Rattus norvegicus: one gene and its partner. The protein of the gene in region 2 interacts with the protein of the main gene of each other region in a pairwise test. Links are inferred from orthologs where the notes say so. Each region holds a gene or a part of one and is shown on either strand. Other genes may lie near its edges.

The links. The genes of interacting proteins can lie anywhere in the genome.
Region 1: the proteins of Atp6v1d (region 2) and Bbln interact in binary tests that used the Homo sapiens proteins (3 or more experiments, as listed by UniProt). The two-hybrid records come from large-scale screens. The link is inferred for Rattus norvegicus from reciprocal best matches to the Homo sapiens genes ATP6V1D and BBLN.

The regions. Positions count from the first base shown.
Region 1 is NC_086021.1:36,072,108-36,076,773, forward strand, and holds Bbln (bublin coiled-coil protein), read right to left. Parts: upstream 2,964-4,666; 5' UTR 2,872-2,963; coding exon 2,793-2,871; intron 660-2,792; coding exon 487-659; 3' UTR 218-486; downstream 1-217. UniProt on the Homo sapiens protein: Essential for intermediate filament organization in intestinal cells, interacts with intermediate filament and regulates intestinal lumen morphology.
Region 2 is NC_086024.1:103,394,782-103,398,974, forward strand, and holds part of Atp6v1d (V-type proton ATPase subunit D), read right to left. Parts: intron 2,294-4,193; coding exon 2,214-2,293; intron 804-2,213; coding exon 736-803; intron 144-735; coding exon 99-143; intron 1-98. UniProt on the Homo sapiens protein: Subunit of the V1 complex of vacuolar(H+)-ATPase (V-ATPase), a multisubunit enzyme composed of a peripheral complex (V1) that hydrolyzes ATP and a membrane integral complex (V0) that translocates protons.

The DNA.
Region 1 (4,666 bases), on a different chromosome or scaffold from region 2:
CTGTATCTCACAGTCATACAGCATGCCCGCATCAACCGGAAGCAGCTGCTGGAGGGCAGCACACCAGGTAGGAAGCCCTGACCTCACCCACACCCTGGGGATCAGAAATGAAAGGCTCAGGTCCATCATATGGTCCATGGATCACAGTCTCTGCTCATCTGCCTCCAGTGGCAACTGGGGTCCTTGTCCGGGCACAAAGAGAAGAAGGGGGCAGTGGTGTGGGAGACCTCTTTAATATGACACTCAATCTGGGTGGAGGGGAGAGAGACCAGGAGCTGGGAAGGCAGACAAGTGGGTGAACTGTAGGACTGCACCTGACTCCAGGAAGAGTGATGGGCAGTGAGTGGGGACTGGTCCAGGCTGGTAGACCCACCAGGGGATCTGGAGGCCAGTACCTGAGATGGTGTCTAAGCCAAGTAGTATCTAGCCAGGCCAGAACATGGCCTAGAGAGGTAAGGGTGGGGCCTGGTTGGGGGCTCCCGGCACCTAGGGGCTGGCATCACCAGGGGCCTCCCCAAGCTGTTGCTGGAATTCCAGGCGTGTCTGCCGATTGGACTCCAGCAGCTCCTGGAGGCGGGCATGGAGGTGGTCGTTCTTCTCCTCCAGGTGGTCCAGACAAGAGTTGATCTGATCCAACATGGAGTTGATGGCAGCATACTCTGGGAGGAAGGGAAAAGATAGAGAGAAGGTCTTGTGTCTCCTTAGAGCTGACAGATACAGCTCAAAGCCTTCTGCTCCTCTCACCTGCCTTGTCCGATTCAGGCCCTTTGAATAGACCGGTGACCTGCCTAGAAGGCACTGGGTGGCACCCTTGTCATTCCCTCTGGGATGACCACCGCTTATTTCAATTTAGCTGTCACCAAGGGGAGGCTCCCTGGGTCCGGTACTACATCAGACTCTGTCCTGGTTCTCCAGCCTCCCCCTCTCCACAGCAACCCTTCAGAAATGACTGCTGTAGTGTGCTGGTCTGAGCTCACCCTCTGCTCACACTCAACTATCAAGCTCTAGGGGAGGTGACGGGTCTTGTGTTCTCTATCTCCCCAGTGCCCTCGATGACACAAATAAGCACTGAATGAATGAATGAGTGAATGCATGAATGAATGAAGCTCTGGCTTTCCAGTCCCTGCTTTTGCTTAACTGTCTACCATCTACTTCATCAGCCACAACAATCCTTCAAGGACCTACTCAAAATACCTCCTCCTCCATGTCTTCCCTCCTCTGAGAAGTCTTCCTGTCTCCGTCCTCTACAGCTTCTTTGACCTGCCTCTTAGCAATGTTGTGTCTCCTTAGGATCCAAGGTCTGGGTCCGTGCCCACTGCGGGACCCACTTCCGAGCCAGCCCATGACTCAGAAACACCCAGCTGCCAACTTGGGAACAAAGGGAAGGAGCTGGTGGTTTTAAGGAAGAGGCCAGGGAGGGCGACTGGAGCATGAGTGTGTATGTGCTGCCTCTCAGGGACAGTTCCCATGACCCACAGAGGGCATCCTTCACACAGCCTAGAGCCTCTCAAGCTGCTAGTCCATCTTCATTCCATCTGGTGACAGGGTCAAAACTCAGACCTAGGGTCAGAGACCCTTACATGAGTCCCAGGTCTGCTCTAGCCCAGCACTCCTTATTAGAGTGGGGTAGGGGACTCTGCAATTGCAGTACACTGAGAGCTCAGTCGGGGTCAGGCCACACCAAGCACTTAATGGGTAGCTAGCTGTTCCCATCCATCCTGGCAGGCCAGCAGAAGGGCTAGGAGAGGTGATGTCTGCAGGCTCCACCTACGTCCTGGGTACTTCCTAGCCCTTGCTCCAGTCCTGGGACAGCCTCTTCCCCACCCCAATGTCATTCAATTATGCCACCACCTCACCTAGTCCCCTCATGATGCTCACTGTGGCTGCCAGCAGTCACTATTGTCCAACAGTGCCCACTATGCCTCCAAATGGACGACAACCTCTATTAAGGGCAGAACCCAGGTGACAAAAATATTCTGAACCTGTTGTGACAAGGACTATGCTGTGAATATATGAAACTGCAGAACTGTACAGTTTAAATGGTACAATCTAGTGTGTTACCTACAGCTTAATAAAGTTTTTATAAGAAAACAAAAGCATACCCCATCCTTATTGCACAGTAATCAAGTCCTGCCCTCTAGGTAAGGCACCAGACTTGACAACACTCAAAACAAACAAACAAGAACCGGCTTTCAGAAGGAACTTGTACTCTGGAATCTTAGAAGCTAACCATTTCTATCCCATTTTCCCTTAAATTCTGACACACTTCAATACAGAAGACACCAATGTGCCCAATATTGCAGATGGGAAAACTGAGGTTCCCAAACGTGCAAAAGCTGTCTGTGGGCCGATGCGTCCCCTGAGGTCCTTGGGCAGTGTTGTGCACCCAAGCACAGTACTCAGTAAGGAGGTCACCAGCAAAGCCAGATGGCTGGGGTGCTGACTCAGCATAGTGGGGAGCCCACCCGGCCAACACCTGCAGAGCCATGCATGACCGCCCCCTCTTAGCGAGGAAAGTGGCTGAAGCAAATCCCAAACTGACAAGGTGCTCTGAAGCTGCCTCAGTTTCAGACACCAGGGTTGGTTAGCGACAGTTCTCCAGTACTGCAGCGCTCAGGGATCTGTTTGCTATTGCTCGCCATCGCCTCCGAGGTGGCTGTGGGGACAACTCCAGAGCCCAACTCCTCAGGCCCTCCCACGCCCCCCGTCCCCGCCCGATTCCAGATCTTAAGGCCAGTACTCCCCGCAGAGTAAAGGTCGCCTTAGCAACAACCCCTCTCCTCCCAGGTCACCTGCTTCCCCGAAGCTGTCATTCTCGCCTTCCGTGCCCGCATCCACCGGCATGCCTAGGTCCCCGTTGGGGCCCGACATTGCGGGCTCGGGCGCCGCAGAGGCCACGCGAAGATGGAACTCGGCGATCGTCGCGCGGAAAGCCGGCGCTGGGCGGAAGGTGCAAGCAGCTGATGGAACACCGGGCCGGAAGAGTGGAACGCAGCAGCGCACTCAGGCCGCCCTGAGCCCCGCCCAAAGCCCAGCCCCTAGGCCTCCGCGCTACCACGCCCTTTGAGCTCCGCCCCCTCCCTGCTTCGGCGCTCTATCACGCCCACAAACATGGCTCCGCCCCGTCCGCTCTCAGGCTCCTCCTTCTCTGGCTTCTGAGCCCCGCCCCTCTCCAGGCCGCAGTGACCCGCGGTCAGCGGAGCCCGAGGACGTACAGAAGGTCAGGCAGTAGAGACCTTAGCCCCCTAGAGCTTGGGATATGTACGAGACTCCATCCTGCTGCTTCCTTCTCTCTGCATGGTCGGAATCAGAACTTCTCCTCCCCAGTCACCAGGAATCTGCCATCTTCCCACCTCCCCCTGGTGCTGCCGAGATGACCCACAACCCCTGTCCTATCTTGGCCAATCTTGGCCTCATCTCTTCTCTTAGGGTTCTCAAAGGCTACACTTTCGGGTGAGATCAGATTCCATACCAGGACAGTAGACGTAAATAAAGCCAATCTGTTTGATTCACGCCAATAAATATGACATGGGTTGGGAAGGAGCGTGAAGGGTTGTGTGTCTGGTTCCCAGTACAGAAAAGACTTGGTGTGCTCTGTAGGTGCGCCTGGGGTCTGTGGAAGGTCTGTGTGCTAAGTATCCTTGCTTGTGGCAGTCCATCACGGAAGACTTCATGATAAAGACCTCCAGCATTCACGTTCCCCCATGCCATGCACACTGGGAAGGGAAAAGAGACCTACACGGGGCTGGAGAGATGGCTCAGAGGTTAAGAGCACTGTCTGCTCTTCCAGAGGCCCTGAGTTCAATTCCCAGCAACCCATTGTGGCTCACAACCATCTGTAATGAGATCTGGTTCTCTTCTGGCATGCAGGCGTACATGCAGGCAGAAAGCTGTATGACCTATACATAATAAATAAATAAATAAATATTTTTAAAAAAGAGAGAGGGGGCTGGGGATTTAGCTCAGTGGTAGAGCGCTTACCTAGGAAGCGCAAGGCCTTGGGTTCGGTCCCCAGCTCCGAAAAAAAAAAGAACCAAAAAAAAAAAAAAAGAGAGAGAGAGAGACCTACACAAAGTCAACATCCAGAACCACTTGTGGATGGGACCCAGAAGAGTAATCGGGATCCAGCTCAGGGTCAGGGTAGTGTCTCAGGAACACTCACTTACCAGGACTCCTAGAGCTGTAATGGCCAGGTGACACCCCCCCCCCCCCCCCCGTGGCATCATGTCACGGTGGCTATTCCAGAGTGCAGGCTGTTCTCAGCACAGAGGCTTCAGTAAAGCTGGGAGAGGAAGGGAAGTGGATTCTTCCTCAAACCCCAGAGGAAGCACAACCCCGTGGACACCAGGAAATTAATGCAAGGGTGGGCTTAGGAGCTAGAAGAGAGTGCATGCTAATTGTAGCAATGTGTTGCTACAATGCGGCTGGGAAGCTCATATCTGCATTAGCCAAGAGGGAAGAAAGCCCCGTGTGTGCCAGCAGAGTTTGATTTGAAGAGCTCAACAGCCGCAAGAGGCTATGGGAAGCTGACTTCCCTGGTCCAGTGAAAAAACTGGACCGAGGCTAGAGAGATAGCGCAGCCATTAAGAGCACACACCCCTTTTGCTGAACCCCAATTCAAACCCCACCCACATCGGGCAGTTCACGCCCACCTATAGCTGGGGAA
Region 2 (4,193 bases):
GAATTGTATAAACAACAAAGCCTCATATATTTAAACAGCAATGACTGCTACCTGTATTTCTCAGTTGCAATTATACACCTTGGGATATCTGCACTTACTGTCAGTTCCTTCGTGGTAATGTTCAAACACTGGTAAGGTGACACCTGTTAGAAAGATAATGAAGATGTGTGTATGGACTCACAGACTGGGCTGGAAGTACTTTTTTCCCTTCTTTTCTTCCATTGGGTCCGGTTCTCTGAAGCAGACTGTACCCCAGGCAAGCCGTTTTTCTTTTTTTTTTTTCTCGGAGCTGAGAACCGAATCCAGGGCCTTGCGCTTGCTAGGCAAGTGCTCTACCACTGAGCTAAATCCTCAACCCCGCTGTTTTTCTTTTTAAACACACAATTCTACTATGTAGTCCAGGCTAGCCTAGAAATTAGAAATCGCCAGCCTCTGCCTCCTTAAAAGGGTGCTGCTTTCCATACTAAGTATCAAATACTAGAAATACTAAATCAAATACTAAAAAACACCAAGAGTTAAGTTTAGAACTGGAAGTGGTTTCAAGTACTATACTTAAGACTTTGTCTTCTCAAGAGTTGCTTCTTCTCAAAGTTCAAATTATCCCGAGTCCTAGAACTAGGCTGCTAAAGTCTGAACATGCCATCAACTTGCTCCTAATTGAAGAGAACCTGGGACTTTGTCCTGCAACTGATTAGCTGCCACCTTTACCCTCCAAGGATTAGGGCAGTCACTTACCTGCTACATTGTCTTTCTTTGCTCGGATCTTCACCTGGGCTTTATTTACATTTTGTATAACTGTGGTGCTAGGAGGGAAGGAAAGAGAGCGAGGCAGTCTTTATTCAGCCTTGTTTGCAAAAATAACTCTACAAGGACACACTGGATGATGAAACAAGGAATAAGACATTACATTATGTGTCAGTAATCATTTTTTTAAAGATTGTGTGTGTGTGTGTGTGTGTGTGTGTACACGCGCTCTATCGTCAATGACACCAGAAGAGGGCATCAGATCCCATTACAGATGGTTGTGAGCCACCATGTGGTTGCTGGGAACTGAACTCAGGACCTCTGGAAGACCACCAGTGTTCTTAACCACTGAGCCATCTTGCCAGCCCCCAGTAATCATCTTTATTCCAGAAAAGAAAACTCAACAGAGGTAATGGAGGCCCTCAGTGCAGAACTAACAACAGCTGAATCAGTACAGGATAAGTACATTTAAAGTATGTGGATGGCTGGTGTTTCGGTGAGTAGAAATGTGACTCTGGAGGATGTATTCCTAGCAGGAACTTCCTTTCCTTGGAGGTTTGCTGTTCAGTTGGTGAGCTGCTATGTAGTCTTTATCCTAACTTTCCTCTGATGTCATCCACTCGCCATCTGTTACAAAAGACAAAGACAAACTTTCCCCTTAACCACATAAAATGTCCTATTAGTCCCCTTCTGCTGGGAAAGTTAGAGCAACTAATTATATTATCCCACTACATTATCCAACTACACTAGCAGACAGGGAAACTTGGGTTTAACTAGCTTCAGGGCCACGGGCGTAAGGCCTGCATGGCAGGAAAAGCTGCTACAGTAGGAAGGGCCCATGTCATGACAAAGGAAACTAAGAAGTCCAGGAAACAACTTCCACCTCTGTCTGTAACCAGAGACAGAGTCAGGAACACTGTCACTTTAAACTGGGGTAACACCATTCATCTGCCTCACAGAGGTACTAAGAGAATCATGAGGAAATACACTGGCATAATGCATTCACAAGCCAGTGTGCATGCACACTTTGTCAAGCTACAATGATGTGATAAAAGTCATAAAGCTCTCAACTGAATAATGGATTCCATTCTAAAAAAAAAAAAAATGTATCCTAGACACATGAAAATATTCACAGTCATTTCCTCAGATTTCAAAAATCAAGCATTCAACTCAAAGATCCAACACTAGGAAAATGGTTAATAAATTATAAAACTTCTTAGTGTACAAACCTGTGAAAACAGGGCAAAACATTAAGTGAAAATGGGCTTCAAAATATCAAGTATTCTGTGCTTGGCACTTACTAAAAGCATTAGGAAGGTAAGAGGCAGCTACCTACAAGGAAGGCAGAGGCAGTTAAGGTTATGACATTAAAAGTATTCCTATCACTATATCCTTTGTTTTTATACATTTTTAATTAATTGAACTTGAAGGCACTGTGAGATTTTCAAACACCCTGTTAGTCATCTTACCTGAAGTCCCCTGCTGTGAATTTGGCCTCAGCCAATGAGAAGGCAGCTTCTCTCATCACCTCACCCATCAGCATCTTAGTCTGAGAAAGCATAAGCCAACAAGAGAGTCAATCAAGGACTTGAAATCACGCCGTATTAGTTCCTGTTAACAACCATCAGTATTTTATGCTAACTATAGAGTATCAGTTTCAAAGACTGACTTGATAATGAGAAAACTCCAGTTTTGATCACCGTCCTGATACTGTTATAAAACATGACTGTTAAAATAAATTCACTGAGTTGAATCTAGCAAGGCTCACTTATTGAATAAGTACATGCTGATTTGCTCAAATTAATCTTCTAAATTTACTCAGAGTCCAAAGCCCCATTGGCACACCGACTCCAGACTGCATCTGAAAAGGTAATGCTTGGGAAAGCCAACTTTTCTTTTTTTAAAGAGAAGAGAAATTGAGTCATAAAAGTAGAAAATTAGCTGAACAAACATTAAAAAGGTCTGTTAAAGTAAACATATATGGTATGACTTGTTAAGAAAACAGAACAGAGTATTCAGAAACAAGTCCAGGTCTATGTGAAAATGTATTATAGTAAAAAGACTATTTAACTGTCATCCACTCACAAAAGGACAAATTCCTACCTTACAACATTCTTCCACCAAAAAGACCCATCTGTAAAAGAGGTCAATACATTTTCTCCTCCCCTCCCCACCGTGTGTGTTTGGGGGGGGGGGGGGGGGGACAGGCATTGGTTTTTCTGCCCTAAGACTCTCCACTTATTTGCTCTCTCTTGAAACTGGAGTTAAGCTGGCAGCTACCAAACCCCCACCCTAACTTATCCACCCTTAGCTATAGGTTCATGAGATCATGCCTAGCTTTTCCTATGGGTTCTAGGCATCTGAACTCAGGTCCCCTGGCCTCTGCAGGCACTTATATTTACATGTACATATCCTCACAGATGCACACATATACACATAATAAAAATACATCTTAAAACACACACACAAAGAGCATATGTAGGGGCATACACCTGTAATCCTAGCAGGTAAGAGGTAGAGACAGAGGGGTTGGGGATTTAGCTCAGTGGTAGAACGCTTGCCTAGCAAGCGCAAGGCCCTGGGTTCGGTCCCCAGCTCCAAAAAAAAAGGGGAAAAAAAAGAGGTAGAGACAGGAAGATGGTATAATGTCATCCTTCATCACACAGCAGTTTGAGACCAGCCCAGGTTATATGAAACTGTTGCAAGAAAACTAAAACAAAACAAAAATTATAAGGCAGGTGTGGTATTTTGTACCTATAATCATAATTATTCAGATTAATAAGTCCAGAAGATTGTTTGAGCCCATGAATCCATGAGAAATTGGACTAAAAAGTAACTCTCTCTCAAAATAGATGAATAGTTATAAAGCAACAAAATAAAACACTTTCCTAGTCCTCTGAAGCCTCTCTAAGCCTTGTCTACTTCAGATCTGGAAGTCAGCACAGTGGCTCGCACCAATTCCAGCACTGGACAACTAAAGCAGGAGGGCTGAAGTAATGGCGGGCTCCACCCAGCCTGTGAGAGAGAGGGGAGACAAAGAGCTGAACTTTGTATTGAACAAAATAAAGCTACAGGAGCTTTAGCTGTGCTGTTTGTGCGCCAGTTTAAATTAAAGAGCACAGGATGCAGTCCAGGGGCAGAGCACTTGCCTAGCACACATAAGGCCCTAGGTTTGAATCTAAGGAATTCAAAACATTTCAATTGTTCTTTCATTTACAAATATGAAGAAAATACTTTTAGTGTGTTATACATTTACCAGAGTGTATAAAGACCCTTTTCAAATAAAAAGCAGCTCACCAAGAGAATCGATTACCAGTGACCATGAAAAGCTGCACAAGCCCCACATACCTGCACACAGCAGGCTGAAGACAACTTGAGCACAGCAGACTGGCACCAAGGAAACACTTCACTAGTGCCCATTAGGAAGGAGTAAGAGAACACGCAGAGTC